7 linked regions of the Oryctolagus cuniculus genome follow. The protein of the gene in region 1 interacts with the protein of each later gene in a pairwise test. Links are inferred from orthologs where the notes say so. Each region holds a gene or a part of one and is shown in the gene's direction. Other genes may lie near its edges. The genes, in order: CEP70, CWF19L2, SYTL4, RHPN1, C6H1orf35, PIMREG and TTLL10.

Region 1 (4,231 bases):
CTTGAGTTTGAAATTAAACTCTTGCGTTTGCATGAGTGTCGGCTCCTGGTGGTCTTCACTGGTGGGAATCGGTACAACACTTGCACATCGGAATCACCTGGGGAGCTTTACAAACTCTGGATGCCTGGGTCCCCACCTGGAGATCCTGGTGTGATTGTCTGGCGGCCCCTGCATCCGGAGTTTCCCAAGCTCCCCAGGTGATTTTCTTTTTTAAAAGTCTGGCAAGGGGGCCGACGCCACGGCTCACTAGGCTAATCCTCCGCCTTGCAGCGCCAGCACAGCGGGTTCTAGTCCAGGTCGGGGCGCCGGATTCTGTCCCGGTTGCCCCTCTTCCAGGCCAGCTCTCTGCTGTGGCCAGGGAGTGCAGTGGAGGATGGCCCAAGTGCTTGGGCCCTGCACCCCATGGGAGACCAGGATAAGTACCTGGCTCCTGCCATTGGATCAGCGCGGTGCGCCGGCCACGGCGGCCATTGGAGGGTGAACCAACGGCAAAGGAAGACCTTTCTCTCTGTCTCACTGTCCACTCTGCCTGTAAAAAAAAAAAAAAAAAAAAAAAAAAAGTCTGGCAAGGAAGTCGATTGGTCACCGTGAATAAACACCATGAACAGAAGAACTCAAGACATCTCCAAATTTTGGCCCTGGGATTCCAAGGAGAATGACAGGGAGAAGGGGCAAGCCGGAACTAGTGTTTCTAGCTGGAGACCTTTCTGATGGTTCAAACACAAGCCTGAGGCTTCAGAAAGTTTACTGCAGCGCAGGAATAGCTTCCATTAAAAAAAGAGGGGGGGGCGAAATCACACAAAAATCCCGCCACAAAGCCACGAGACACCTGGGATCCCACGGCCACACTGACTGGAAAACCAAGTGTGAGCCCTGATTGCCAGATGCTACGCAGCCCAAGACCCAGTCTCTACAGGGCCCTGGAAAACCACCGTTGTCCCTCAGCGTCCACATCTCTGCATTTTACGGAGCCCGATGTAGGGCCAGACACTTCGTGGCCACCGGGAAAACGCCCAAAGGGAGGGTGAAACGCCAGCCGCTCCGAGGCTCCCCCAGGTCCGGAGCTTCGACACGCCGGCTGCTCCCCCAGCAGGAGCTCGCGGTCCTGGCGAGGGTCCTGCGCAGTGGCCAGGTGCTCCGAGCCTCATTTTCACCTGCGGCCACATATTTGCATATCTGAAATCTCCTGGGGAACCGAGGCCCTCCGTAAGCGAGAGCCCCAGCCAGCGAGAGGCCGTAGAGCGCGACTGAAACGTCAGCGGGCCTATGACAGCCCGCGGTGGTGGTAAGCCCCGCCCCCAGCAGCCGGAGCCAACCAGGGGGCGCGCGGCGGACCCAGCCTCCTCGAGAGGCCGGAGATAATCGCTCAGAAAGTTCCGAGGCAGAGCAGAGGTTTGACCTCGACCCGCTCGGGCTCGATTGGCCAACCTCCACTGGCGTCGGTAACGGTCGCGGAGGCGGGGCCGGAGGCGGTGGAGCGGAGCCAGGCAGGGCCGGGCCGGGCCGGGCCGGGCGGCCGAGGAAGGTGAGTGGCGCTCGGGACTCGGCCTGTGGGCGCCGAGCGTTGCCGGGCGCCCCGGGTGGAGCGGGCTGGGACCGGCTCCAGCAGGCTGTGTGAGGGTTTGGGGATTGGTTAAACCTGCTTCGAGCCCCGGCCCCCCAGCCTTTGTGGTCTTCGGCGTCTCCGTTTGCTCCTGTGTGCAGTCTGCTGCCTTCCAGGGCGGCTGTGGGGGCTAGACGAGGCAGGCAGTGCGGAGCTCAGACTCGGACCCGGCTAGATCAGACTAGACCCTGGCCGAGTCGGCGAAGGGCGGACGGGCGCTGACCGCCGCGGCCCTCGGCGTCCCGGAGTGGGGCAGGTGTCGGCGGAGGGTGCCGGGGACACACGGAGGCGCGTAGCCCGCCTTCTCCGGTTGTCGGGCGCATTCTGGATCCGGGGTGCGCAGGGGATTCTGACTTCACGTGGAGCCTCATGTGATTCTTAAAGGGTGAAAAATCCCCCGAGCTGAGGCACTTGTAACAGTAACGCTTGTAACAGACCAGTCAGCAAGGGTTTCTCATCATAATGTTTGACGCCGTGCAGCCACTGCCCGTGTTGGTCTCAGCCCTCTGCGTGCATTTGTTTTTGTTTTTACTTTGAGTATTGCCAAGCAGAGCAGGCCGCCTCCGCTCCGCTTTTTGGGTACGAGGCGGCTGATTTGGAGTTTCACTGACGGGGTTGCTTCAGAGCGGGGGAGGAGGGTGTTCTGGCCCTCCTTGTAACCTCGCCGGCACAGGATGGTTTGGTTGAGGTGACGTCCGGGCCCAATGGTGGTGGATTCAGTTCGTCCTTTGGAACGTTGGCCTATCTTCGGACTAGTTTGCATTTCATGGAGAACACAGACTTGGAAAGCCGTGCGTGTTCATTTGTTGGAGTGATTTGGAATACGTCCTTCGGAGAAAGTTTATAGATTTTCGGTATGACTCACTTGAGAAAGAAATTACTGGCCATGATCTGTTATTTCCAGCTCTCTTCCCCCCGCCCCCCAAATGGCGAGAAAAATAAGTTTTTTAAGGTTTGATGCATGTTAGGCTATATTATAAGGGACCATTTGACCCAAAAGATTGTTGGGAAACCTGGACAGTGCTGGAAGATACAACTGTGTTTTTGCTTTTCTGTGTTTGGCTATTTTTTTAATGGTTTTTTTTTAATTTATTTTCACTTTATTTATTTGAAAGGCAGAGAAACAGTTTTCATCAGCCGGTTCACTCCCAAATATTCGCAACACTTGGGGCTGGGAGTCAGGTACTCAGTTCAGGTGTTCTGCTTGCGTACCAGGGACCTGATACTTGAGCTAGAACCTGCTGCCTCCCAGTGTGTGTGTGCTAGCAAGAAGCTGGCATAGGTAGGAAAGCCAGCACGTGAACCTGGGCACTCTGCTGTGGGATGCAGGTATGGTAACTGCTGAGCCAAATGCCTGTCCCCTGCTTGTCTGTATGCCAAGTGCAAACCAACTCTCAGCCCCCAAACCTTACTCCTACAGCCTGCCTTTAGTTGTGTTGTGACACTGAGTAGAGCTACAGCCTCGCTTCTGCCCCAGGGAGAGTTTAGTCTCTTCTGTGACTTTCAGCGTTCTGGACTTTTCTCCTCTAACAGCCTGCAGTGGGGAAAAGGCTGCTGCAAACTATCACCACGTTTATTTCACAGACTGGTGTAGGCTGATCCTGCAAGGCCCGCACTGGTGACGGTGCTCTTGACAAGACGCACTCAAGACCAGTTTCTGTGAACATGTCTATTAACGATGAAGCATAAGCTTTTAAAGGGCAGGCAGAGGGGGCGTAGCTAATTCAGGGCAACACTATAGGATAGATCTGATATTGGCGCCACTATGCTTCTCCAATCAGCTTGAAGGTCACATAGCCTAGTAGCCTACCAGGTGGTCCTTATGGGTCTGGGGCACACCCAGGAGTTGTTTACCTATTTGACCCTTTACAAGGTCCTTCACCTGGGAGCAGGGGTCAGGGAAATGTGCCCGGGAGGCATGGTGTGCCATGCCCTCCTAACCTCCTGCTTGGGGTAGGCAGGCAGTCTTCCAGCCAGGCACAGGATCACCCACAAGGGAGAAGAGGAGGGAGGAGGCTTATGATGGTGAGCCAGGAAGGCCATCAGCGCTTACTGTGGCTGTTGGAGTTTCAGCTTAGGGCTTTCCGGCACCATGGACGCTGCGCTGGGAGTAACACAAGACCTTTCTCACTAAGAGGTTGAACTTTCCAAGAGGTTGATCCGTTAATCTTTTTGAACCCTAGATGAAGATCTAGTTTCGCACATGAGACTCACTGGCCGATCGTTTCATTAAGATCATCTTGGATGAGCAGGTGTGACGTGCAGGAGGAAAGAGCTATGGCTGAGGTATGTCTGCCGCAACCGGTGATTCTAGATGTTAGGAGGCCGTGGGAAACATGGACCTGATGTGTACTAAATACTATACTAAACACATTGGGTATACTTCCTTTTGACTCCTGATAATCCTATCAGGTACATATTTTAAACTCAGGCCAAGTAACTGCTTAGATGATTAGCTGTCCTGGACTCTCCTAACCCCTGTCCTGCCTCGTGCCAGGCAGTGCTCTGTTTATTAATTCCTAATCCTCACAAAACCATGTGAACTAATTACTGTATTATCCTGATTTTATGATGTGGTAATTGATGCAGAGATTATTATACTCTTGGCTATGTGGCAGAATGCATAAG
Region 2 (3,648 bases), on another chromosome or scaffold:
AAGGTGGCCTAGAAAATGCCTCTGAGATATTTTAGTAAATTATGTATGATGGGAGGGAGCAAGAAATTTGAAGGTATAAATGAATGATGTTTCAGGAGGGGTATCAGTGTGTAAAAACGTATGAAGAAGAAATGATTGGCATTCATGGAGCAGTGAAAGAAAGTAGTGAGAAAGTGATAGTAGAAAAGATTAAATAGTGAATGCCAGTTTCAGGAGCTAATGAATTAGTGAATATATAGTGCATATTTATTATTATTATTTTAAAGATTTATTTATTTGAGAGGCAGAGTTACAGAGAGGCAGAGAGAGAGAGAGAGAGAGAGAGAGAAAGAGAAAGAGAAAGGGTCTTTCATCCCTTCCATCCAGTGGTTCACTCCCCAGATGGCTGCAACGGCCGGAGCTGGGCCGATCTGAAGCCTGGAGCCAGGAGTATCTTCTGGGTTTCCCACATGGGTGTAGGGGCCAAGGACTTGGGCCATCTTCCACTGCTTTCCCAGGCCACAGCAGAGAGCTGGAGTGGAGCAGCCAGGGCTCAAACTGGCGCCCATATGGGATGCTGGCACTGCAGGCGGTGGCATTTTTTGCTAAGCCACAGTGCCGGCCCTGTACATATTTTTATTTTTGTTGTTTATGTACATTTGCATTCATACATTATATGTAATCTTACTATCTTTAGATCATTAAAGCAGTCAGTTTATCAATTTGATTTCTTTTGCTTCATTTTTTACCCTTGTTTTTTTCAATTTTCTTTCACTCCATAAGTTATCTCAAAGGTAAATGTAAAAACTTCACTAAATATGTAACCAATTTTTAAAAAGGAAAAACCCATCTTAGCCAATTGCCTATATTAATTTTTTAAAGTTCTTTTTTTTTTTTGAATCTAATAAACCATTCTGTATTTTTCCTGTGTTCTAAAGGATGCTGCTTCAATAAACTTAGTAGTTTTAGAGAGATCATAACAATGTTTGCCCATATATAATATCCATATTCATAATTAATTTGATGATGATGTGTTGGTTTCATCCAAATGAACCTTGAAAATGTCAGTGAATTTTGGCTAAGATACCCAAGATGCATAGCATAGATTGTTGATTCAGAAAGTAAAACATACCTGAACTTACTGACTCATTGACATATTGTACCTTTTTTTTTTTTTAACTTTTATTTAATGAATATAAATTTCCAAAGTACGATTTATGGATTACAATGGCTTCCCCCACATACCGTCCCTCCCACCTACTACCCTCCCCTTTCCCACTCCCTCTCCCCTTCCATTCACATCAAGATTCATTTTCAATTATCTTAATATACAGAAGATCAGCTTAGTATACATTAAGTAAGGATTTCAACAGTTTGCTCCCACACAGAAACATAAAGTGAAAAATAATAGATGATTTTTTTTAAATGATGATGAAATCAGATCAGACCTATTGTCATGTTTAATCCCAGTGAGAGTCAAGTTGGGAGTTGATAATTTCTTTTTTCTTTTTTTTTTTTTTTTAACAGAGGATCAGTTTAGTATACATTAAGTAAAGATTTCAACAGTTTGCACCCCCATAGAAACACAAAGTGAAATATATTGTTTGAGTACTCGTTATAGCATTAAATCTCAATGCACAGCACATTAAGGACAGAGATCCTACATGAGGATTAAGTGCACAGTGACTCCTGTTGTTGACTTTACCAATTGACACTCCTGTCTATGGCATCAGTAGTCTCCCTATGCTCCAGTCATGAGTTTCCAAGGCTATGGAAGCCCTCTGAGTTCTCCGATTCTTATCTTGTTTAGACAAGGTCATAGTCAAAGTGGAGGTTCTCTCCTCCCTTCAGAGAAAGGTACCTCCTTCTTTGAAGACCTGTTCTTTCCCCTGGGATCTCACTCACAGAGATCTTTTGCCAGAGTGTCTTGGCTTTCCATGCCTGAAATACTCTCATGGGCTTTTCAGCCAGATCCGATTGCCTTTAGGGCTGATTCTAAGGCCAGAGTGCTATTTAGGACATCTGCCATTCTATGAGTCTGCTGAGTATCTCACTTCCCATGTTGGATCACTCTCCCCTTTATTTATTCCATCAGTTAGTGTTAGCAGGTACTAGACTTGTTTATCTGCTCCCTTTGACTCTTAGTCCTTTCATTATGATCAATTGTGAACTGAAATTGATCACTTGGAATAGTGAGATGGCATTGGTACATGCCACCTTGATGGGATTGAATTGGAATCCCCTGGTATGTTTTTAACTCTACCATTTGGGGCAAGTCAGCTTGAGCATGTCCCAAATTATACATCTCTTTTCAAGACTTTCATAATTTCCATATATATCACATATGTATTACTACCATATAGATCTCTCACATTTATATATATATTTTATATTTCTTTATTCTGTTCCATATAAGAATAAATTAAACCTCTAATAACACTTAAATTTTTCCTGTTGTGCACTGGGAAATGTTTGAGACTGTAGTCCAGTGGTGTTTCCCTGGGAACCAGCTTCCATATGGGATGCTGGCGTTACACGCTGGAGCTTTAAGTCCTGCGCCACAGTTCTGGTCCCTCCAGTATAAATTTAAGTAGCCACTCTTTCTTTGTTCACAGCAGAGTTTTAAAACTGCCCACTATTTTATAAAATAATTATCTGCCATATAAAATATTTCCAACTACAATTTAACAAAAATAATAGAAAAAACATCCTTTTGCAGGAAGTTATTTATGCTCCTTAGGAGATCTTTTGTCCATTCTCCTTTTTTAAAAGACAGTTTGTATTTAGTGGGAAAAGTAGCACCAGTTTTAAGTAATACATGTATGGAAATAAAAAGAGCTTAACTCGAGCAGTGAAGTCACCGTGAGATCATTTCCTCTCTCTTGGCTAGGTTTTCTTTTCTCAGCTTGTGAGAGGTAAAAGGTCTGATTAATAGTCCATCGATTAGAGCACTCTGCCATTACCAGGCCATGCCATGTATCTTTGTAGTCTTGTGAAACTGTGTTAAGGGCTTTCAAAGTATATACTTTCTTTAGATCAAGGATGTAGTATCATTTATTTTTCCTTCCTTGGATAATCTTTATATGTAGCAGTGAAAATTGCACTTATATTCTGAATTTCCAGTTTATTAAAAACCATTTTTATGGCTTTTAAAATAGTTATAAAAATTAAATCTTTTTTTAAAATAGTTATGATAAACGTTTTCTTCTAAGCAAGTGTACTGTGTTAATTATTAGCTACAAGTGTGAGTAAATTACAGTAGCATTTCAACTTTAAAATTTTTTCCCGATAGGTTTATTTGTGTTTACCCAACTTCCAGTCTCTTACTGAGGGGCACTGCCTGATAGTCCCTTTGCAGCACCATAGAGCAGCCACATTACTAGATGAGGACATCTGGGAGGAAATTCAGGTAAGCATGAAAATGTCATTGTCATTTTAAAGCCCATGAGCAGTTTTTATAAACTAGTGTGGTAGAGTCCAGCAGGGTCTGTATTTTCATTCAATAATTTTACCTTCTGATTTAAACATTTTTGTAGTTGTCTGTATCTGCAGATCATGTTTCCAGCGTTCACTATCTCTTAGTTTTATTTCCCATAAGTACTCTGCATTTTGAAAACTTTTGTTTCTAAACTGGAACACAATATGAATTATTTTTACATCAAAATGTTA
Region 3 (4,362 bases), on another chromosome or scaffold:
TTTTCAATGAATTTGCCCATCCAGAGGAGCTGGAAGGAATGTCATGAGTAGGCAGGACGCATTTTTTAAAAAAGATTTATTTACTTATTTGAAAGTCAGAGTTACAGAGAGGAAGGGAGATCTTCCATCTGCTGGTTCATTCCCTAGATTACTGTGATGGGACTGGCCCAGGCCAAAGCCTGAGAGCCAGGAGCTTCTTCTGGGTCTTCCATGTGAGTGGCAGAGCCCCAAGTACTGGAGTCATCTTGTGCTTTTTCCAGGCGCACTAACAGGGAGCTGGATTGGAAGCGGAGCAGCTGGAACTCCACCCAGCATCCATATGGGATGCCAGCGTGGCAGGCGGCAGTTTTACCTGCTATGCCACAGCACCAGTCCTGGCAGGATACGTTTTTTAAGATAGTAAAGAGCATGTTTAATTGCTGATGACAATTGAGAGAGACTTCAGCAAGTTTAATGGCTGATATGAAGAAGGGAGGGAGGAGGGCAAGGGGGCATCTGCAATTCTTAAACAGATATAAACATTTCAGAATCTATTGATATAGATTGTTCACATGGTTTCTAAAAGATTTTATTATTATTATTATTATTATTATTATTTTATTTGACATATGGAGTTAGTTAGAGAGAGAGAGACAGAGAGAAAGGTCTTCTTTCCATTGGTTCACCCCCGAAATGGCCGCTACGGCTGGAGCTGCGCCGATCTGAAGCCAGGAGCCAGATGCTTCCTCCTGGTCTCCCTTGCGGGTGCAGGGGCCAAAGCACTTGGGCCATCCTCCCCTGCCCTCTTGGGCTACAGCAGAGAGCTGGACTGGAAGAGGAGCGACTGGGACTAGAACCGGTGCCCAGATGGGATGCCGGCGCCATAGGCGGAGGATTAACCAAGTGAGCCTCGGCACCGGCCCCTCTAAAAGATTTTTAAACAACATACACTCCTACCAGCAATTATGAGAGAACTTGTTTGGTGGACACTTTGTCATCCTTAAGTGTTATTGAAAAAAATAAAAACCTCTTTGCTAAAGATTCTCATTATTGTTATAATTTACTCTTTGATTACCAGTGAGTCGATATTTTAACTGGTTGTGTTCTTTGAGTGTGCAGGTGTGAGTTAAGTCTGTGTCCTCTGCTCAAAACACTTCTGTTGTGGGTAAACACTGTTTTCTATAAAAAGTAAAAAGTCAAAGGATCAGAACAGTGTCATATGTTATCTTCCCAAATCACATAGTTTAGACTTCTTCTTGCAAGTACGTGACAGCTTGACAACTTTTGGCTCAGCTGAACAGAAGTAGGTGATTTTTACCATCTAAAGAGAGTGACCACAGATGGAAGTGAACGGCGCTGGGGACACGGGGTGTGTGTTGGCGGGATACATATACTCTTAGATCCCTATCCTCAGTCCCCAAATTCTCTTTTCTAACCTGGGAGGACATCCCTTCAGTGCGTTAAGGTTTTGGCTGCCGCAGCTCGCCTTTGGATTGGGCGACCCCTACTAAGGAGCTCAAGCGCTGTGCGGCCCCTTTAAGAGTCCAGCTCCTCCCCGCTCCAGGGAAAGTTGCAGCTTTTTCCGCCTGCCGGAGAGTGAGAAGGGCCGGCCGCAGAGTGGGCTTGAGATCTTCTCGGAGCCGGAGACCCCTCCCTGACTCTGGTCCTGGGACGTCTAGTCTTCTCGCGGCACCTGTTGCTGGTGACAGGTAGGGCCGCAGCTAGCGGCTGCCCGCCCTCTTGCTCTCGCTCTGGGACTCTTTTTGGTCCCATCCCCTTTTCACTGCTAAAGCGCTCCCACCCCCTTTTCGAGCACCTGCGCCCTTCCCTACCCCTTTTAGCTCTCCAGGTCTTTACTGCTGTCTCGCTGACGGTCAGTCCCCTTTCCTCTGCCTGCCTCTCTGGACCGCACCCCTACGCCTGGACGCCGTCTGCTTGGGGCGGTCCCTCCCTGCCACTTTTCTTTCTCCCGGGCTTCTTCTGGCCCGTTCCATGGCCCACGCGTCGTTAACGCGGACTGTGGCCATCTGGGCACTGTTCCCTCTCTGTCACCCCTCTTGCGGAGTCCCCAGCTTTTCCCGCCAGCCGGAGCCCAGGTTCCTCCAGAGAGCTGGCCCTGGGGGCGGGGGTGGGGCTGGGCTCCTAGCAGGGACGCACCCTCCGCGGCGGCCCGTCACGTTTCCGTCGGTTCCTCTCGCGCTGTCCCTTCACCTCGGACCTGGCGGCGTTGGCTGCCTTGGCCTGCCTGCCACAGTGAGGCCGGTTGGCCCAGAGTGCTGCCTCAGTGGGCTCCCCCTGCACTTGAGGCTGGGCTGCTTTCTTTGTGGCCCTTCAAGCAGGCCATGGGAGTTTACTCCTGCAGCAGGGTCCCCAGAGCGCTCAGAAGAGGCGCAGGATGCTTGTGTCTTCTGTGTTGGTTTGTAAAGGGACAAGAAAAAGTGTTCCTTTAGCCCTCAACATTGGATGGGATGGGGTTTTCGGGTTTGAAATCATTGGGTTAGAATTTTAGTGGCTTGAAAAAGTGGTGTTTTTATGAACCAACCAGTTTCCCCAAACCCTTGCTTTTTCAGGGCCAGAGGACCTTAGCATTCTCGAATAATGCTTTAGGCAGGGCTGACCTCGGAGACCTTGGACATGTGTGGCAGAAATTAGTCTTCAGTACATTTAGGACCTCCTGTTTTTAACTGGATTTTTTCTGCTCTTTCACCTCCCTACTCCCACCTCTCATAAATCCATTAATATCAAGAGGTTAATGACCTAAAATGTTTACCCTACTGTGGAGGGAACAGTGGTTTAATGCAGAGTTGTGGCCCTGATGGTGTTCTGGTTTTCTGTTTGGTTTTTTAATCATCAGCTGGAGATCCTAGTAGAAAAAGCCCATGAACTTGGCTTGGGTGACTTTTGTTTTGTTTTTGAGAGGTGACAGAATTTCAGGTATCTCTCTCTAGGTCAGAGCAGTGAAGTGGAGCTTTGAAGCCCTGTTCTGGGGTGAGTGGTGTGTGAGTGAATGAGACATTCTGCTTGATGCTCTCTGAGCTTTTCCCTTTAATGACTGCTACTAATAGTGGCTATTAAGAGTCTGCTGAGCTAGGCACTGTGATAAGTTCTTTGTGTAATTGTCTCATACAGTCCTCATGATAACTCTGTGCAGCACGCACTACACGTATAACCATGTTAGGATGAAAAGAAGACTCTGAGAGGGTAAGCGCCTTGGCCCAAATCACCCAACTGAGGGGGTCAGAGCTTGTGTTTCTATCCTATCACACCATATCTATTATCTCAGATGTTAGGAACACTAAATAGCTTGTACATGAGCACTAACTTATGAAGAACTTCCCTCCCAAGCTGAGACATAAGTTTGGATCCTTGATTTCACCTTAGATACACTGCATAGAATCTGGACCACTTTCCTCACTGATATCTTACCCACTTCATTTCCAACATGGGGCCAGCTGCCACGTTGCCACTATAAGCACCCCACTCCTGGAATGTACCCGGATGAAAGAAACCTCCTGGGCTGTTAGCTCAGGGCAGTTGTCCTGAAATTAGCAGAGAGTAACCCTGGAATCCAGGGGTATGTGCCAGACTACTTCTTCCCTACTGGCAAAAAGAGAGAATTGAGGACATGGTAAGTGATAAGGATTTCCCAACAGCCAGGCCAGAGAGCCTGAGGGTGATGGTGTGCTTTTTGTTATAGGATGGATGGAATATGTAGGCTGGGAGAGGGGGAGAAAATAAAAATCTCCTCTCTGATCCCACCTCTGGGACTTTGCTCAAATTGTCTCCCCCCCTTTTTTTTTCCTGAAAAGCCAACTTGCCACCCCTACCTGTTAATTCTTAGTCATCTGTCAACATTTAACTCTAAAGTCGCCTCCTTTGGAACAGCCTTACGTGCACTTTACTTTTGTCAAGAGGAATTACTAGTTATCCTGTGTCCTAAAGCACTTCTTGTTACACCTCAGTAAAGCCCTTACCATCACTCTTGCCTGTTTTTCCACCTGGAAGGTTGTAACCTCTCTAAGAGCAAGCTCTGGATCTTGGAGTTCCCTTTGTCTTAAACATAAAAGACTAACAAACATTCATTCTGGAAATGGAGGTAGTCATGCCTTTCAGGGGCTGAGGTCTGGTGATGGTGGAATGGAAGCACAGAATGTGATACAGTTTCCAGATCCGATCAGCAGGACTTCCTGATAAATTGAGTGTGAGGAGTAAAAGGGAGAAAACAAGGGTGACCCTTGTTTTTGGTCTGAGCAACTGAATGGCCGATGACATCATTTTACTGAGACAGGGGAGGTTGAGGAAAAACCTGAGGCATGCGAGAGTAGTCAGAAATCTCGTTTTGACCATGTTATATTTGAGATGTCTATTTGATAGACAAGTAGA
Region 4 (4,442 bases), on another chromosome or scaffold:
TGGCTCCCCCAGCCCAGAAGCTTCGGAACCCCGGGGCTAAACCTCCTGTGGTGCCCCACGGCACAGGCACAGGCACAGGCACAGGCACAGGCTTCCCACTGAAGCCCTCGCTCAGCTCCTCTCTCCACTTCCCTTTTAGGCGACTTAAGTGCCTGTTAACTCAGCCCCTACTGGGAGAGGGCTCCGGATCCCGAGCAGTTTCACTGGGACTTGTGGGTGGTGGTTTGCTAAGAAGCCAGCGGCGAGTGCACTGGCATCGCGGGGTCCCGTGCACGGCCCAGCAGCAGCCCCAGCCCCCCAGCGGCAGCCTAGCGGGGTTCACAGGACTGCCCACCCCGCAGCTGCCCCTCCTGCCCCGGGGGTGTTGCTTGCCTTCTTCCTCTTACGGATTTATTTATTATGTGGAAGGCAGAGCGACAGAGAATCTCCCAACTGACCTTCACGCCCCAGATGCCCACAACAGCCAGGGGCTGGGCGCCACCAGCCGGCTCTCCCACGTGGGTGCAACACCGCCGGCCACGCTCGGCTGCCGCCCACGCACCTCCCAGCAGGAAGCTGCACCCAAAGCGGGATCTGGAATGCGCGCGTCCCGGGCAGCAGCCCTGGTGGCCGAGGGACAGACCTGGCTACCTGAAGCCCCCAGGGCCCAGGTCAGTGCAGGGGCAGGGGGCTGGCGCGGCCCGATCGGCCAGCACTTTTCAGGCGCGCGGCCCGCGCCTCCTACCCGCCGTTGGAGTCTCCTCCCAGCGCGCTCAGACCGCAGGTCGCCCTGTCCACCTGCTGGGCCACACGGTCCCCCCCTACAGGCTGCCCCAGCCGCCCAGGAGCGCCCCTCGGGCCACACACTCTGGCCCGGTCGTGTCCCCGCGTCCAGGGGTCAGCCTAGGGTCAGCCATGGTGGCGGGGCTCATCCAAAGGAATCCGCAGATGCTTGAAACCCGGGGGTCCTGCCGGCCCAGGGGCCAGCGGCCAGCTGCCAGCGCGCCCCCCGGCCCAACCTGGTCACCCCCGTCACATCTCCCAGGCACTGCCCAGGCCTCCTGGGCACACGGGCGACCCTGAGGGCTGCTGAGAGCGCTGGGGTCTCCGCGCGGGCACAGAGGGCCGAGACGACCCGCGTGGAAGCCCCGCACAAAGGCGGCGGCGCCTGGACCACAGGCGGCATGGGGCGCTGGCCGAGGGTCCCTCGCGGCCGGTGCGAGTCAGGCGGAGGGTGCAAGGGGCCCCCAAGGCCACCGGGGAAGGATGCGCCCTGGCCAGGGGGCGTGAGGAGAGAGCCGTGCGGGAGGCCTGCGAGCCCGCGGGGCTCGGACGCGGGCGGGCCATGGTCGGGGCCTGCCCGCTCGGCCGGGTCTGGCCGCCCGCACCGCGCCCCCGAGCGCCCCCGCAGGACCCGAGCGGGACCCGCAGGCCCCAGCGATCAGAGGCCCGGGCGCGCAGGGGCGGCTATGGAAGGTTCTGGAAGCCTCACTGCGCGCGGCGCGCCCTAAAGAAAGCAGGCATTGTCCGCCGACAAAACCGTTTTAAGTCCCCACCGCTCACCGTCCCCTAGAGGGTCCCGTTGCCGGGGCAACGGCGAGACGTCCCGCACAGGCGCCAGCGGCCGGGACCCGACCTCCGCGCCCACCGCGACGCGGGGTTTCCCTGTCCCGCGGCGCCTGCGCATTGTCCGCGGTTGCCAGGGTAACCGAGTTCCCCGGGACTCCGCGGGCCGAGCGGGATGGGGGCTGGCCTCCGGGAGCCCGCCTCTTTTGTTCTCTGGTTGGTCGGTATTGCCGTCCGTCAAGCGGCGGCCGCCACCGATTGGGCAAAGGCAAGTTTCGCACGCCGGAGCCGCCCGCTCCCGGGGAGAGCTCTGTCCGCGGCGCGTGTGGCTGCGGCCGGGTGCGGGTCTCCGAAAGCGGGACCGGCTCCCGGGAGCGGCGATGATCCTGGAGGAGAAGCCGGAAGGCCCTGGCGCCGGCGAAGACATCGGCCGGCTGCAGGCGGCCGGCAGCGGCGGCCAGGTGGGCTTGGGGACTGGGTGGGGGTCCCGGACCCACCCTTTCCCCCCCGGGTAGGTCTCTCGGTCCTGGCCTTGGCGCTGCGGGAAGCTGAGGCCCGGCGGCCTCCCTGTTGGGAGCCACAGCCCTCGGGCAGGTGTGGGCTCAGGCCTGTGACCCGGCCCGACCCGCTCCCCGGGCGTTGAGCCGCGCCCTGCCCCCCCCCCCCCCGGAGCTGGGTGTCCCGTGGGGTCACCGCAGCTGGGCTGTTGGTCCCCGCGCCTCCTCGCCGACCCTCCCAAGCCCGTAGCCCGGACGCCGGTGTGTGTGCTGGGGCGGAGACCTGTTGAGGCCGCCTGGGACAGCGTCCGCTGCTTGCTTGCCGCGCGGCCCCGGGAGACGCCGCCCCGGCCCGGGGGCTCTCGGTCGCGCGCAGTCCCAGGACGTCGGGCTGTGCCGGGCCCCTGGGCTGGCTCCGGTCAGCTTCCTTGTCTGGGGCTCCGGTCTTCTGGGAGGGCGTCAGCCGGGGCTTGGGCTGCAGGCACGCAAGTGGCCAGGCGGTGCTGACCAGAGCCCCCGAGGGCCCAGTCCCTGTGCGCCACAGGTGCGTCTCCGCTCGGCGGCCGCCACGGCTGCGGGTGGCCGGCAGGGGGAGCGCTGGCCGTGCCCCGTGCTGGTTGCCAGCCTGGACACGGGGCAGGAGCCGTCTGCAGTGGCTTCGCTGGCCGCTGCGTCCTGACCACACCCTGGGATGACCGGGCGGGCAGGCCGGCCGGGGGCCCTGGGTGAGGTGGCTCAGCCCAGGCAGTCCCCGCAGACCGGGGCGATGGGCTGTGGCCCCCGGGGGGTCTGCAGTCACCAGCAGGTCAGTCCAAGGTTCCTCCGCCTGACTGCACGCCAGCGCTCCCTGGGCACACAGATTCTTGGGTCGGGGACAGGCACTGGGGCACAGCGGGTTACGCGGCTCTGCTCCTGGCCTCGCCCCTGCTGATGCCCCTGGGCAGCAGCAGACGGCCCAGTGCCTGGCTCCTGCACCCACGTGGGAGACCCGGCTGTGGACTCCCAGGCACCTCGCTCCAGCCTGGCCCAGCCCCTGCTGTGGGGGCATTTAGGGAGTAAGCCGGTGGACGGAGGACCTCTCTCTCTCTCTCTCCACACTTTCAAATAAATAAATAAATGTTTAAACTGAGAAACTCCAGACGTGGCCCAGCTAGGCCAGGCTGCGAGAGTGGGACCTGCCTGGAGGAACTCAGGAACCCGAGACACCCGCCCTGTGGGGGATCCCACAGCCACTGCACCCCCGGGACCCCCGTGGCCACACCCATGCCCTGTCCCCTCCCGCGTGGTGGCAGAGAGAGGGTTTCCACCGCCCCAGGCTCCCTCTGCCTTGGGCGGGCCTCAGGGCCGGGGCCTGCGGGGGCAGGGCTCTGGCCAGAGCCGACCGGGCTGGGGTGGGGGCTGGGGCTGGTGCTGCCTGACCTCCGCCCACACTTTCCTGCCGGCTGCCCGGCGGTCCCTGCGCTGGGGCTGGGCCTGGGCCGAGCAGCAGGGGTGTGGCGTGTTTGTGTCCGTGTTGTCCACACACACACACCCCTGTGGGGACACCCGGGGACCATGGTCCATCTGTCCTCTCCCAGTGCAGGGCAGGGACGGGCACTGTGGTGTCAGGGGCCCCCGCTCCTGCAGGGGCCACTCAGGCCGGTTGGTGCCTGCAGGGAGGGGAGGGACAGTGGCCGCCGCGCCCAGGAGGGCAGCCCTGTGGCCGGGGCCATGCCCAGCGCCCGTCTCGGCGGGGCTGGTGGCCCGAGCCCCTGGAACCCACAGGAACTGCAGCAGGACCGCTGGGCTGGGGCCAATAGCCTTGGCTGTGACGGCCCCTCTCCCCGGGGCGGCCCCGCCCGAGGACAGGCTGCCCCCTTCTGCGCGGGCGGGCGCTGGGCATGGCCTTGTCCACGCTGTCTGCCCGGGTAGGTCTGCTCTGGGACCAGAGGGTGACTGGAGGCCCCTGCCCTTCACAGCCCAGCCCAGCGCCCTCCTCCGGGAAGCCTTCCCTGACTGACACGCCTCTTGAGCTGGCCCTGGAGGTCGGCTCGGGCCATGGTCCGAGGTGGTGGCGGCACAGGAGCTTCCGTGGGGCCCCTGGGAGGTCCTGCAGGGAGGGGCCGAGCCCGGGGGTCTGAACTGGCCTGAACCAGCCGTGAGCCCACGTCTCCCCGTACAAGGCCAGCCGTGGGCTGGCTGGTGACCTGGCTGGGGAGACCCTGGCTGGCTCAGGTGAGGCTCCGCCACCTCGGGCGCCCAGCAGTGCTGGGAGGAAGCGCAGGAGGGGCCCGAGTGCCTTCAGGGCTGGCCCGGGCTCACGGCCAGCTCAGGGCTGTGCACCTGCCGCCTGCAGGCCCTGAGGGCACTGCCCTAGAGCCAGACCTGGCCAGGTGCCTGGGCTGCAGAGCCACAGCCACC
Region 5 (4,290 bases), on another chromosome or scaffold:
TGAGAGCAAGCAAGAGTGTGTGTGTTCACTCCCCACATGCCCGCAGGGAGCCATGCACTCCACACAGGGCTCCCTTGTAGGGGGCAGCAACCCAATTACTTGAGAATTCCAGAAGTGCACTGACTTGTCTTCCCTGACACTGAGTCACAGGCTCAGAGTGACGACAGCGACCCAGGGCCAGCTCTGAGCAGCTTCTTGGTTGCTCTGGACTTTCTTGTTAGTAATGTTACAGCAGTTTAAGGCACACACTTAAACGAGTTTATGGGGCCAGCACTGTGGTTAAGCACAGGTTAAGCCTCTGCCTGTGACAGCAACATTCCATATGGCTATCGGTTCGAGTCCCAGCTGCTCCTCTTCAGTCCAACTCTGCTGCGGCCTACGAGAGCAGTGGAAGATGGCTCAAGTGCTCGGGCCCTTGCACCCACGTGGGAGACCCTGAAGAAACTCCTGGCTCCTGATCCGCGCAGCTCCAGCCGTTGTGGACATTTGGGGAGTGAACCAGTGGATGGAAGACCTCTTTGTGTCTCCCTCTGTCTGTAACGCTGCCTCTCAAATAAATAAATAAATAAATCTCTTAATTTTTTATGTGATAGAACGGGGCGGAGCGGAGGGCGACAGAGAGAGAAAGCAGGAGCCCTCCATCTGCTGGTTCACTCCCCCAAACACCCGCAGCAGCCGGGGCGGGGCGGCAGCCGCAAGCGGGTGCCCCGCGCCGCGGCCAGCAGCGAGCTGGCGGGAGCGCGGCGCCAGGCCGAGCAGTCGCCGGGCTGCTCACAGCCCGCTGGCCTGCCACCTGACCCTGTCTGGGGGCTAGGGGTCTGCGGGCCCCCAGACGCTGCTGGAACGCCTCGTGCAGAATGGCTGCGAGGCCGGCCTCCGCTTCAACTTAGCTGAGCCCCCTACGGGGAATCAGGCTGTCTCCGAGAGACCCCTGCTATTGGCATGCAGTATGTGGAACCCGGTCCAATGGGCACCCCCACAGAAAGACCCAACGAAGACAGCAAAGCCTTAAAACCGTGTGCACTTCCCGAAAGCCTTGCAAAACGGGAAGCAAACTTCCCACTTCTTTGCAAGCTGTTCCAGCTTATTTCCATACTAAGCTGAGGAAAAGAACCCACCAAACTCGCTCCGGTAACCGCTGTCCCCTCCCGCGACGCCCAGCGGCTGCGGGGAGAGCGCGGCCTGGGGGGCAGGGGCCCTCGCCGGAGCCGCACCCGGAACCTGGTCCTCCTGGGTCTGTATCGCAGCGATCGGCGGGGACTTCAGGCAGCGGCCCCGCGCCCACCCGGGCTCCACAGCCCCTCCAGCGCCCGCTCGGCGACGGGGCACTGCGCAGGCGCGGGGGCCCAGTCGGGCGGTGCCTGCGTCGGTGCTCGCTGCGAGGTGGGTGGTGGTGCGCAGGCGCGCGGGGCCGGGCCGGGGCGTGACGCGCTGGCAGGTGCGACGCCCCGGGGCCCGGCGCAGGCGTGACGTCGCGGCGCGGCTAGGCGCGGCGACAGGCCAGAAGCCGGCGACAGTCATCGGGGCCCGTGCGGCGGCACTGTAGCCATGTTCGGGTCCAGCCGCGGCGGGGTGCGCGGCGGGCAGGACCAGTTCAACTGGGAGGACGTGAAGACCGACAAGCAGCGGGAGAACTACCTGGGCAACTCGCTGATGGCGCCGGTGGGCCGCTGGCAGAAGGGCCGCGACCTCACCTGGTACGCCAAGGGCCGGGAGCCGCGCGCAGGACCCAGCCGCGAGGAGGAGCTGGCGGCCGTGCGGGAGGCGGAGCGCGAGGCGCTGCTGGCCGCGCTGTGAGTGTCCCCGGGGGCGGCGGAGGGCGCGGGCGGAGGGCGCGGGCGGTCGACGGCGCCCTGACGGTGCCCCGGCCCTCTCGCAGAGGCTACAAGAACGTGAAGAAGCAGCCCACCGGCCTGAGCAAAGAGGTAACCGCAGGCGGGGGCTGAGCTGGGGGCCGAAACGGGGGTCGCGGGGGCGGGGGCCGGGCGGCGCCGGGCCCTCTCTCCCGGCCCTGTGCGCACCCCGCAGGACTTCGTGGAGATCTGCAAGCGGGAAGCCGGCGACCCGGAGGAGAAGGGCGTGGATCGGCTGCTGGGGCTGGGCAGCGCCAGGTGCGGCAGTCCCGGGGAGGAGGAGCCGGGTGCCCAGCGGGGAGCAGGGTCCGGGCGGTGATCCAGGGGCGTCCTCACCTCCGTGTCCCCGCAGTGGCTCCGCGGGCCGAGTGGCGCTGTCCCGGGAGGACAAAGAGGCTGCCAAGCTGGGGCTGTCGGTGTTCACGGTAACCTCTTTGCCCCAGCCCGAACGCGCTGGGGTCCTCGGGGCGGCGGGGGGGGGGGATGGGGGACGCCCAGGGCGGGTCTCCCCGAGGCGTGGGGTCAACCTGCGCGCCCTCGCCAAAGCGCCGCTTCCCCCGCAGCACCACCGCGTGGAGAATGGCGGGCGGGGGACCTCGCCGGCCTCAGCCAGGAGGAAACCGCGCGCCGAGGACAAGGCGGAGCCTGAGTAAGGGGCATTCGTGAGCCGGAGTTCCAGGGGTGTGTGTGTGTAGTAGGGGCGGGGGTGCAGCTCGGGATTTCTTCCCACAGACGTGTGCTCAGAGACGGCACCCACGAAAGGGCCAGGATTGGTTGGCCTTGAGCCCCTCTTTGGGCTGCCCTCGGCGGGCGAGCAGGGCCGGTCTCCATCTCCAGGCTGAATGTGCCTGCCGAGAGGGGTTGGGGTCAGGACAGCTGCTGAGCTGGGGTGAGGCGCAGGCAATGGCGCCTGGCCCTGGCTAGCTTGGGGGGAGGCAGAGCTGAGTCACTGCTGGATCTGCTGGGGAGTTTTTCTGCCACAGTGAGGGTGCGGCTGCTGGCCACACGTGACCGCCCAGCACTTTGAGATGTGGTCTGTTTGGCTGAGGGGCTGACCAGGACCAAGCATGAAGAGGCCGCTACGTTGGTGGCTGCCGCCCTGGACAGCACAAGCGTGTCCATCTTCCTCCCCTGGCCGGGACAGAACTGGCCGCCTGTGCTTGCTGTCTCCTGTCTCCCGAGGGCTGGGGCTGAGGCCCTTTCTGCACCCCCCTTGCAGCTCTGAGAGCCACAGGAAAAGCAAGAAAGAGAAGAAGAGAAAGAAAAAGAAGAAACACAAGAAACAAAAGAAGAAAGACAAGGAGCACAGGAGAGGGGCCACTTCCTCTTCCTCGTCCCCATCCCCTGCTCGGTAGGGCAGCCCAGGGGGAGGGGGACTGGAGCTGGGCTAGATGGGCAGCTGCCGCACGCTGGGTCCTTTCTGAGTGACCATCCCTGTCTGCCCAGGCCTGAACCCCGCCAGCGTGACTGCAACTCCCCCTGCTGCAAGAAGAGGCGGTGTGACAGCAGGGACAGTGGGAGGAGCCCTTCCCGCCAGCGGCACGCCAGAGACTCTGATGCCTGAGACCCTGCCTTGGAGGCCTGTGCAGGTCCCGGGGGCACCCCCCTCAGGGTGCCCTTCCTGTCCAGGTCGAGGCAGAGGGACCCTAGCCTTGCCTGCTGGGCTTCAGGAGCAGGGGCCTGTTTTGTGAACTTCCTCCAGGTCCCAGTGAAGGGAGACTGCGAGCCCAGGGTGTCCCTGTGGCCCTGCCTCAGCCCCCGGCCCTCCCAGCACAGGGGAGCCTGTATTCCAGGACAGGTCTCTTCTCTGTCCTGTCTCCCTCTGCAGCCTCCCCAGGCCGGCCCTCCCGAGGCTGTAGCTATGGCTGAGTGTGGCTACTTCTATTTTTCTTTACATCAGTTTTGTACTTCAGTTTATATTAAAAGCAGAGTGTATCATCACAGAATGGAAGGTGGCCCCAGCACCTGTCCTTCCTGTCCAGGGCCCTGGTGACCGCTAACACCCTAAGGGAGCCCCTCGTGCTCCCACGTGGCCAGGGTAGAACCGTGGGAGGACCCCCCCAGAGGGACGACAGTGTCGGGGCAGCTTGGGAGTGGGGGGCCTGCAGGGAGCCAAAGGCCCCCAGGGCCCACCTGCCTGCCTGCTCACCTGTGGAGGTGCTGTTGGGCAGGACTGCTTCTGGGGACATGAAGGTGCTGGCACTTGTAGGTGTGGACAGACAGCCCAGCCTGTGCTCCCGTGTGTGTGCTTGTGCACACAGGAAACCTTTCCTGTGAGGATGGGGTTAAGATCCAGACCACACCCCTAACCCTCTGCAGGTCCTCACCCTGCAGGTGGCCAGCCAGAGCTGAGACTGTGCTCAGGTGAAGGCAGGCAGGGACACCTGGCCAGGGCGGTGGCCCACAGAGGGCAAGGTATCAGAGGAGCTGAGGGAGG
Region 6 (4,096 bases), on another chromosome or scaffold:
GGTTCTTGGATGGGCTGGTTGTGAGTCTCTGCCCACCCAGCAGATGGAGCGCCATCAGGGTAAGGGGCACGCCCCTTGTGTTGACCTCTGCAGCCCTTGTTCAGCATGGTGCCTGAGCGTGGGCAGGCGGGGCGGCGGAGGCCGAGCCTGTGCACACCTCAGTAGGACCTGGGGAATACATGGGAGAAAGAACGTGGGGTGGGGAGGAGGAGGATCGTGGGAGAGAGCAGGTGAGTCAGCTAGGGCGTGCTGGCCTTCCCGGCCTGGGGCACCAGGAGGGTGGGGCCTGAGTGTTGGGTGAGAGGCCCAGGCTGGGGGGGGGGGGGGGACAGCGCAGCGTGAGGGTCAGGCACAGGGACCCGGCTCCAGAGGGATGGCGTTCGGCTCAGGGAGTGAAACATGGGCCCCTCCCCCACCTCTCTGTGCCTCAGTTTCCTCCTCCCTCTGCAGGGAGGCCAGGTGAGGGCCCGAGGCTTCTGTGCTGCAGGCGAGTTAGGCACTGTGCTCACCGTGGGCGGTGGTCGCTGCTGAGACCACCGGAAATGAGGCAGAGGCCTGAAGACAGTGCTTGGAGGAGGCGGGGCGCGGGGGGGGGGGCAATCTGCAGCACCCACAGGGAGCCAGCGGCGGGCAGTGATGCTTTGAGGTCTCCTAGGGACGGGCTGGTAATGGGGAGAGCTTTACAGATGGCGGGAGTCTGAGCTTGTGTGGATGCGAGGGGAGGGGTCGGGGTCTCCCGACTTAGGATGGCGAGGCCGGGGCAGGGGGCATGAGCAGGAAGGCAATGGGGGTGGGGGGCGGCAGGAGGGCAGGGGCAGGAGGACAGGTAGGCAGGGCAGAGGGGCAGGTGTGCTCCCGTCTGTCCCCGCTCCCAGGTTGTTTGATGGGGAGTGTGGAGCCTGTCTCAGGAGGGAGGGGTCTGCACCCGCATTCCCCAGCTCTTTAGAACAAAATCGCTGAGCGAGAAAGAACAGGCCACACCCCCTGGCAGGAGGGGCAGGGTCCCTGGAAGACCAGGGATGCTGCAGGCTGAGTGCCCTCCCAGTGCCCGGGACCCCAGGGGTCGCAAACGCCTGAGCCCCTTACAGGCTCTAGGAAGGGGGCTCGGGCGTGAGGCATGGACCGCGCGCCGCTGCCTGGGGCCGAGCACACGGGATGGGGCTGCGGACCCGGCAAAGGCGTGGGCAGGCGGGGCGGCGGAGGCCGAGCCAGGCGGGGGTCTCGAGCGATGAACAGGAGCTGGATTTGCAGCCGTGGGGGAAGGCGACCAATCGGAGGCCCGGAGCCGTGGCCAAGGCAGTATCTCGGAACCAATCATCTCTGAGGACAGGCCCGGGGCGGGGCCGCGCGGAGTTTGAAATCCGCAGCGGTGGGCGAGAGACCCGCTGTACTCGGATCGGATCGGCGCCTGGGGTGATCGCAGGTCGGGCCCCGGGGGGGCTGCTGTTCGGGATGGGGGAGGGGTCTGCCCAGGCCGGACACGGACGTGGGGAGCATCCAAGGGAAATCGGGCTGTCCGGGGGGCGGCCGCGGTGTAGGTGGGAGCGCGCCGGGTCAGGGCCGCGTTTTGAGACCCGTAGAGCCCCTGCCTGTCTTCGGCTCGAGGCCTCGGGCCCAGGGACGCCGGGGCCGAAAGGACAGCCCATGGAGAGAATCCAGGCCCAGGCGGCGGGAGTCCGCGGACTTCCCCTTGCGGGAAACACCCCCCTTTCCAGCACCCACAGCTACGAGGGCCCCACCCCACAGGCCTCCATCCTGTCTCCCTCCCCGGGCCTAGGAGCCCTGCGGAGCCTGGAAGGGGGCCAGCGATGCCCGCTGACCTGCCCTCGGCCCTCCTCCCCAGGGCGCGGTGAACAGAGGCGGCACAGCCAGCAGATGGCCTGTCGGTGGTCGGTGCGCCGGAGATCGCTGCTGGAGGAGGAGCAGCCGGAGGAGGAAACCACCACGCCGGCCGCAGCCGGCCAGCAGGATGCGTCCGCGGGGGCCCTGGGCTCCCTACGCAGACAGTTCCAAAGAAGGCTGCCCCTGAGAGCGGTCAGCCTCAACCTTGGGGCGGGCCCTTCATGGAAACGCCTGGGAACTCCGGAACCAGAGCAGCAAGGCCTCCAGGCGGCAGCTCGATCAGCCAAGAGCGCCCTGGGGGCCATGTCTCAGGTAACAGTGGCTGTGCTGTCCAGCTCCATGGACCCTCAGTGCTGGATAGAGCCCACCTCCAGGAGCCCCTGGAGAGTCTAGACTCCACCTGACAGGGACTTTGCACCTCTAAGAATTGCTAGCATAGAGTGGGCATTCAACAAATAGCTGAATGGTGCGGAGAAACGGAGGGAACAGGTGCTCATGATACAAGGGGTGAGAGCCATGTGTCAGCCAGTAGGGATGGTGAGGGGACGGCCAGTGAAGCCCCCCCCAACCCCCCCAGCAGGTGGCTCCATGGAGAATCAATGGGAAAAGGCAAGCACAGCTGGAATGGTGTGAATCCCACCGAGACCCAGGGACGGGGGTGTGGGCAAGGATTGTGTCTGGGTGTGGCCAGAGGAAGGGGGGGCTCTGATGTGTGTGGACCCCCAGGAGCAACCAGAAGAGGGAAGGATTCCAGACGGACGGGAAGTCTGCTCAGCTTAGTGTCGGGAACTTTCTCTTGAGCTGCCTGATGAAAAGGGTGGTGGGGCAGACACACCCGCGGGAGCCTGGGATCCTGGGTGCTGGACTCGCCCAAGGGAGAGCCGCTAACTTCAGGAGCTCCTCGGAAGGTAGACCCCCAAGAACCCGGTGTCAGATGAGACGGGCTGGCACCACGTCATGACGTACACTGGTGTGAGGTGCCCAAGGGCCTTCCGCCTGGAGCTGGGAGCATTCCGAGATGTCCCGAGGAGGGAAGGAGCCAGGGCAGCCATTTGGCCCCGTGATTAGGCTGCATCCCGTATCCAAGGGCCCAGGTTCAAGTCCTGACTCCCGATTGCAGCATCCCACTAAGGCAGACCCAGGGAGGCAGCCGGTGAGACCTCAGATGGTTGAGTCCCTGCCGCCCACATGGGAGACTGGGATGGAATTCCTGGCTCCTGACTTTGGCCCCTGGCCATTAAGGGCATCTCGGGAGTGAACCAGCAGGTAGGGCTCCATCTGTCTCTTTTTGCCTCTCCAATTACAACAGAAGAAAGGACAGAGCCATGGTAGCAGCCAGCCGTAGGAGGAGAGGGCTGGATGCCCCACTGGGCGCTCTGAAGGTGTGGGGAGAGGGCTGCTCCTTCAAGCCCTCCACAGACAGCTCTCTGGGCCCAGCCCATTAGTAAGAACCCTGAAATTGTTCCCACTGCCCCGGGCACAGGAGAGGTAGAGGGAGGTATCTTATCCAAGGCCACATGACATGGAATTTAGCTTGGGGCATGCACCAGCCCTCCCGCCTCTGGCATGCCACGGCATTCAAGGTCTTCACAGCCATCACCCACTGCCGTGATAGGCCTGAGAGTTCGGGCTTGTTCCTCTGAGCAATAAGGAGCCACAGGAGGGTTTCGAGGGGCCAAGCGTCCCGGGCAGAGCTGCCCTTTGGGCCAGCATGGAGGACAGATGGGAGTGGACAAGCGAGAGCAAAGGCAGGGAGACAGGTTTCCTCAAGAGGATGTGGGCTTAGACAACTGGAGTTCTATGAGCCAGGGCAATCCTCCCGTGATCGACCCCTGGGGGTGTGTCTTGGGTGGGGGAGCTCCATTTCCCATCCCTCAGGCTCGAGACTGAAAGCAGCCTGCAAGTACGGGACAAGTGGGAGGCCAAGGCTTGGAGGGAAGGCCGGGAGTGGCAGGTGACGCACCTGGGTTTCACGCATGCTCACCTTGCCTTGTAACTGTCACAGAGGATCCAGGAGTCCTGCCAGAGTGGCACCAAGTGGCTGGTGGAGACGCAGGTGAAAGCCAGGAGGAGGAGGAGAGGGGCGCAGACGGGTGATGGCTCCCCCCCGCACACCCTGAGCCAGAAGAGCACCCGGCTGTCGAGCACCACCCACCCAGCGCTGGGCTCCCGGGAGCGGGGGTATCGCCGCCTCTCGGCCCAGACAGGCCCCCGTGCCCACCTGCTGCGGCGGCCAAGGAGGGATGCTGCCTTC
Region 7 (4,098 bases), on another chromosome or scaffold:
TCCAGGCAGGACTCTCAGTGGGACGGATGGAGCCCTGTGGACCCCTGTGGACCCCGGCCAGCAGGTGAGACTCCACGTGGGGAGGAGTGGGGGGTACCCTCGGGGCGAGGATGGGTTCCAGGGGAGGTTCATTTCCTGGGGCTGCCAGGAAAAGCTGCTACAGAGAAATCACACACGGGGCCAGTGTTCTGGCGCAGGCGCTTATAAGACCCCACCTGCGACGCTGCCATCCCATGTGGGTGCCGGTTCGAGTCCCAGCTGCTCCACTTCCTGTCCAGCTCCCTGCTAACATGCCTGGGAAAGCAGCTGAGGATGGCCCAAGTGCTTGGCCCCACACTGTGTGGGAGACCCAGAAGGAGCTCCAGGCTCTGTTTCCACTTGGCCAAGCCCCGGCAGGCACAGCCATCTGAGTTGTGAACCAGCCAATGGAAGTGCTCTCTCTCTCATTTATTTGAAAGAGAATCTCTTGGCCGGCGCCGTGGCTCACTAGGCTAATCCTCCGCCTGCGGCGCTAGCACACCGGGTTCTCGTCCCGGTTGGGGCGCTGGATTCTGTCCCGGTTGCCCCTCTTCCAGGCATGTGGCCCAGGAGTGCAGTGGAGGATGGCCCAGGTCCTTGGGCCTTGCACCCCATGGGAGACCAGGAGAAGCACCTGGCTCCTGGCTTCGGATCGGCGCAGCGCACCTGCTGCAACGTGCCGGCCATGGTGGCCACTTCGGGGGTGAACCAATGGAAAAAGGAAGACCTTTCTCTCTGTCTCTCTCTCTCACTGTCTAACTCTGCCTGTCAGAAAAAATAATAAATAAATAAATAAATAAAAGCACTCTTGGTGTGAGCGTTTGGCCTAGTGGTTAGGACCCGATGGAGCTCCAGGCTCCTGGCTTCAGACATTTGAAGACTGAACCAGTGGACGGAGGACCTCTCGGGGTCACCCTGGAGGGTCATGAGGACAACAGAAGAACCAGGTGAGGGTCAGAGGTCATGACCCCAGCAGTGGGGGTGCACCCAAGGGTTAGAGACCCCTGCCCAGTCCACCTAAAACCCGCAGGGCTCTGCTGGATCACGGTTGCCAGGTAACCATTGCTGGGAGACAGTTGCCAGGTCGCCACTGTTGTGTCCAGCAGAGGGCTCTCACGACCTCGCCAGGCAGGTAAGAGGGACAGGCCGGCCGCCAGTCTGCACCTGCGCTCCTGCGCCCCCCTCGGCCACCAGACCTGGGCCCCTGCCTGAAGCAGAAGGCCGGCGGGGGAGGGGAGTGGACAGGGAGGGGGTGGGGCGGCTGGGCTGGGCACTCTCAGGACCACCTGCCTCCTGTCTCCCTGAAGTCCGCGGGCCCCGTGTCTCTCGCAGTCCCTGGCCAGAAGGCGCCGGCTTCCATGCACGGCAGCTCCTCAGAGCCCGCGGCAGTGTGCGGGCAGAGGCTGATCCGTGCGCGGTCTCTGGTCACTTGTTCCCAGGTCTGGGAATACTTCGCGTGTCCCTTCCCAGGGGGCGGCCTCCTGCCCGCCCGTCTCACCAGGTAAAAACCTAGAGTTTGCCCCGCCGGCTGGGCAGCAGGTCCACGGCGCCCCCCGCAGGGCCAGGCCTCGCCCCCGCGAACCACACCGGGTGGTTTCAGGCTGGCGTGGCCTCCGGGGCAGCGGCGCCTGGGGCTCCTGACCCTTGGGCCCCTGCGTCCTCCGCCTGGTGGCGCTGCTCACAGTGCGTACAGGAAGTAGCCATGCAGTCCACTCAGGAACCTGGCGTGCGAGCGACGGAAGAGCCGAGGCTGCCTGGGGCTCCTCCGGCCGCGGCCAGCGCGAACCTAGGCCTCCAGAGCCCTCACCCCTGGACCCTCCTCCTCCCGCCTGCCTATTGCAGGCGCCTGCCGAAGCCCCAGATCTGCACCTGCAGGCGGGGCTCAGCCCCAGCACGGAGGCCCTCCCGAGGCCCCGCTCCCGCTCCGCCCCTCCCGCGACGTCGCCTCTCGAAGCCCCGCCCACCCCTCCCGCGGCCTCCCCCCACCTCGGCTGCCCCCACCAGGTGCACAATTCCAGGGTTCTGACCAGGACCCTCCTGCGGCCTCCCTCCGGCCACACCTCGCGACACCCCCACAGTGCTCGCAGGCCCCTGGGCGGGGCTGGAACTGGGCCCTTCCTGTCCCGGGGGGCCCCTTTGCACAACCTCCTGGACAGGACCCTGCTGGTTACTCCTCACTGTTCCCGTGTTCACAGTGCCCAGCTGGAGCCTGGGGGAGCAGCCCTGCCCGCACCCTCCCAGCTCACCCCTCCATCAGCATCCATGACGCCCACCTCCGCCCATCTTCCTCCACACCTCTCTGTGTGTGTCCCTGCATATCAGGGCAGGTCCACTTGTGTCCGTGCCTGTGTCTCTGTGTGCTTGTGTCTGAGTGTCTGTCCAAGCGTGTCTACGCATACGTGTCTGTACACGTCTGTGAGTGCCCGTGTGTCCACATGTGCCTGTGTCCCTGTGTGCCCCCGCATGTGTCCAGCTGTGTCCGTGTCATTCTGCGGCTCCCACTTGGAACTCCTCCCTAAGAAGCCTGGGCTCTGGGCACTGCTCAGCGGCGTCTTGGGGGTCCCAGCGCCCCAGAAGGACTCTTCGGAGCAGGGTGCTGGGGGGGTCTAACTGATCTGCTGCCCCATCGTCAGGCCCTGCAGGCCAGGTCCAGCGTCCACACCCGGCCCTCCTGTGTGGGGAGCTCCTAGCTTCTGCCCGCGCCCCCACCCTGCCCTGGGTGCCTGCCAGCCTCGGTTCTGGCTGCTCCAGGCCTGGCCCCATCCTCCCAGTGCCTGGAGCCGGGCAGCTCCTTCGCTGCCACTCTGGGGCAGAGGCCACGGGCACCTGCATCACCGCCATTGGGCAGGCATCCGCTGGCTGCCCAGGGATTCACTCGGGAGCAGCACCCAGGCCCCTCCCAGCCGCCCCAGCATCCCCACTGCTTGCTTTCTTTCAGACCTGCAGAAAGTCCTCTCCCCCAGCAGGCCACCCATGGACTCGCAGGCCAGGAAGTGGCCACAGGTTCCCTGACATGCTGCAAAGGTGGCACCTGGGGACCAGATCCAGGGGTCGGGCCGTGGGGCCAGGCAGCCACAGGGACGGCAGTAGCAGGCGGGGTGCCGCTCAGGATGCCCCGGTCCTCCAACCCCTGACCACGGCCTCCTTGCAGCCGACAGCCAGACCGCGCTCCTCAAGGCCAGATGGACGGGCCGGGCAAGGCAGGGCTCGCCCCGCAGAGATCCGACTCGGAGGGCACCGCGGCAGCACGGGCCGCCCGGCCCCACAGCCACCGTGGGGTTGGGAGCCGGCCCCGGGGGGAGGCCCCCACCCAGCCCCCTGGGAGACGCCTTTCCCCTGGCAGGGGGGGCCCCACGTTGCGCCCTGTCCAGAGGCTGGTCCCGCGGGCTGCCCAGAGATCCCGCAGGAGAGTGGGGGTCCCGTCTTCCCAGCGGGGCTCTCGGCCCGGTGCCCCCAAGCCAGCCGGCCGCAGCCACACCCGGTTCATCCACTGCCGGAGACCGTCCACGCGGGCCCAGCTCAGCGCCAAGAGGAAGAGGCGGTCCAGGCTGTGCCGGTGCCGGGCCAGGGCACCAGGTGACCGCTAGGCAGCCTCATGGCCAAGGGCCTCCCAGTCAGTCCCGGGAGGGCCCCCACCCCACCCCATGCCACCCCACAGCCCCAGCCTGACAGCGGCCTTTGGGTCACTCATGACATCATCATGGACATTGTGACCCCGGCCCTCCAGGCAGGCCCCGGCGCTGTGTGTGCCCCCACTCCGCCTCACTCCCCAGCCCTGCCTGCTCCTGTCACTATCACCCTCAGGCTCTGGTCAGTTGCAAGCCGCAATGAGGCAGGGGCTGGGGTGAGAGCCCGGTGCAGCTGGTCGTGGGCTGGGCTTGGCCCGACAGACGGGTGCCCCCCACCCACCAGATCCGCCCCTGCACAGGCTGGGCCCCTGGGAGACGGATGGGCAGCGGCCGAGACAAGGGGCTCCTGCCCACGCAGGGCCAAGACGCAGGTGGGGGCTGCCAGGGCTGGGAGGTCCAGGGGTCCTGGCCGCATAGCGGCCTGCGCGTCTGACCTTCACCTGCCCTCAGA

Evidence for each region.
Region 2: the proteins of CEP70 (region 1) and CWF19L2 interact in binary tests that used the Homo sapiens proteins (3 or more experiments, as listed by UniProt). The link is inferred for Oryctolagus cuniculus from reciprocal best matches to the Homo sapiens genes CEP70 and CWF19L2.
Region 3: the proteins of CEP70 (region 1) and SYTL4 interact in binary tests that used the Homo sapiens proteins (3 or more experiments, as listed by UniProt). The two-hybrid records come from large-scale screens. The link is inferred for Oryctolagus cuniculus from reciprocal best matches to the Homo sapiens genes CEP70 and SYTL4.
Region 4: the proteins of CEP70 (region 1) and RHPN1 interact in binary tests that used the Homo sapiens proteins (3 or more experiments, as listed by UniProt). The two-hybrid records come from large-scale screens. The link is inferred for Oryctolagus cuniculus from reciprocal best matches to the Homo sapiens genes CEP70 and RHPN1.
Region 5: the proteins of CEP70 (region 1) and C6H1orf35 interact in binary tests that used the Homo sapiens proteins (3 or more experiments, as listed by UniProt). The two-hybrid records come from large-scale screens. The link is inferred for Oryctolagus cuniculus from reciprocal best matches to the Homo sapiens genes CEP70 and C1orf35.
Region 6: the proteins of CEP70 (region 1) and PIMREG interact in binary tests that used the Homo sapiens proteins (3 or more experiments, as listed by UniProt). The two-hybrid records come from large-scale screens. The link is inferred for Oryctolagus cuniculus from reciprocal best matches to the Homo sapiens genes CEP70 and PIMREG.
Region 7: the proteins of CEP70 (region 1) and TTLL10 interact in binary tests that used the Homo sapiens proteins (3 or more experiments, as listed by UniProt). The two-hybrid records come from large-scale screens. The link is inferred for Oryctolagus cuniculus from reciprocal best matches to the Homo sapiens genes CEP70 and TTLL10.

The regions. Positions count from the first base shown.
Region 1 is NC_091435.1:143,186,611-143,190,841, forward strand, and holds the start of CEP70 (centrosomal protein of 70 kDa), read left to right. Parts: upstream 1-1,294; 5' UTR 1,295-1,525; exon of another isoform or gene 1,526-2,457; intron 2,458-3,786; 5' UTR 3,787-3,847; coding exon 3,848-3,889; intron 3,890-4,231.
Region 2 is NC_091432.1:99,116,170-99,119,817, reverse strand, and holds part of CWF19L2 (CWF19-like protein 2), read left to right. Parts: intron 1-3,271; coding exon 3,272-3,388; intron 3,389-3,648.
Region 3 is NC_091453.1:91,980,679-91,985,040, forward strand, and holds the start of SYTL4 (synaptotagmin-like protein 4), read left to right. Parts: upstream 1-1,541; 5' UTR 1,542-1,688; intron 1,689-4,362. UniProt on the Homo sapiens protein: Modulates exocytosis of dense-core granules and secretion of hormones in the pancreas and the pituitary. Interacts with vesicles containing negatively charged phospholipids in a Ca(2+)-independent manner.
Region 4 is NC_091437.1:167,368,160-167,372,601, forward strand, and holds the start of RHPN1 (rhophilin-1), read left to right. Parts: upstream 1-1,578; 5' UTR 1,579-1,925; coding exon 1,926-2,006; intron 2,007-4,442. UniProt on the Homo sapiens protein: Has no enzymatic activity. May serve as a target for Rho, and interact with some cytoskeletal component upon Rho binding or relay a Rho signal to other molecules.
Region 5 is NC_091437.1:246,652-250,941, reverse strand, and holds the start of C6H1orf35 (multiple myeloma tumor-associated protein 2), read left to right. Parts: upstream 1-1,447; 5' UTR 1,448-1,548; coding exon 1,549-1,793; intron 1,794-1,879; coding exon 1,880-1,925; intron 1,926-2,028; coding exon 2,029-2,111; intron 2,112-2,205; coding exon 2,206-2,278; intron 2,279-2,416; coding exon 2,417-2,502; intron 2,503-3,072; coding exon 3,073-3,204; intron 3,205-3,299; coding exon 3,300-3,417; 3' UTR 3,418-4,290.
Region 6 is NC_091448.1:50,103,188-50,107,283, reverse strand, and holds the start of PIMREG (protein PIMREG), read left to right. Parts: upstream 1-1,283; 5' UTR 1,284-1,423; intron 1,424-1,843; 5' UTR 1,844-1,875; coding exon 1,876-2,154; intron 2,155-3,847; coding exon 3,848-4,096. UniProt on the Homo sapiens protein: During mitosis, may play a role in the control of metaphase-to-anaphase transition.
Region 7 is NC_091438.1:164,277,864-164,281,961, reverse strand, and holds the start of TTLL10 (inactive polyglycylase TTLL10), read left to right. Parts: upstream 1-1,212; 5' UTR 1,213-1,376; coding exon 1,377-1,519; intron 1,520-2,956; exon of another isoform or gene 2,957-3,031; coding exon of another isoform or gene 3,032-3,042; intron 3,043-3,169; coding exon 3,170-3,594; intron 3,595-3,667; exon of another isoform or gene 3,668-3,862; intron 3,863-3,946; coding exon 3,947-4,018; intron 4,019-4,097; coding exon 4,098-4,098. UniProt on the Homo sapiens protein: Inactive polyglycylase.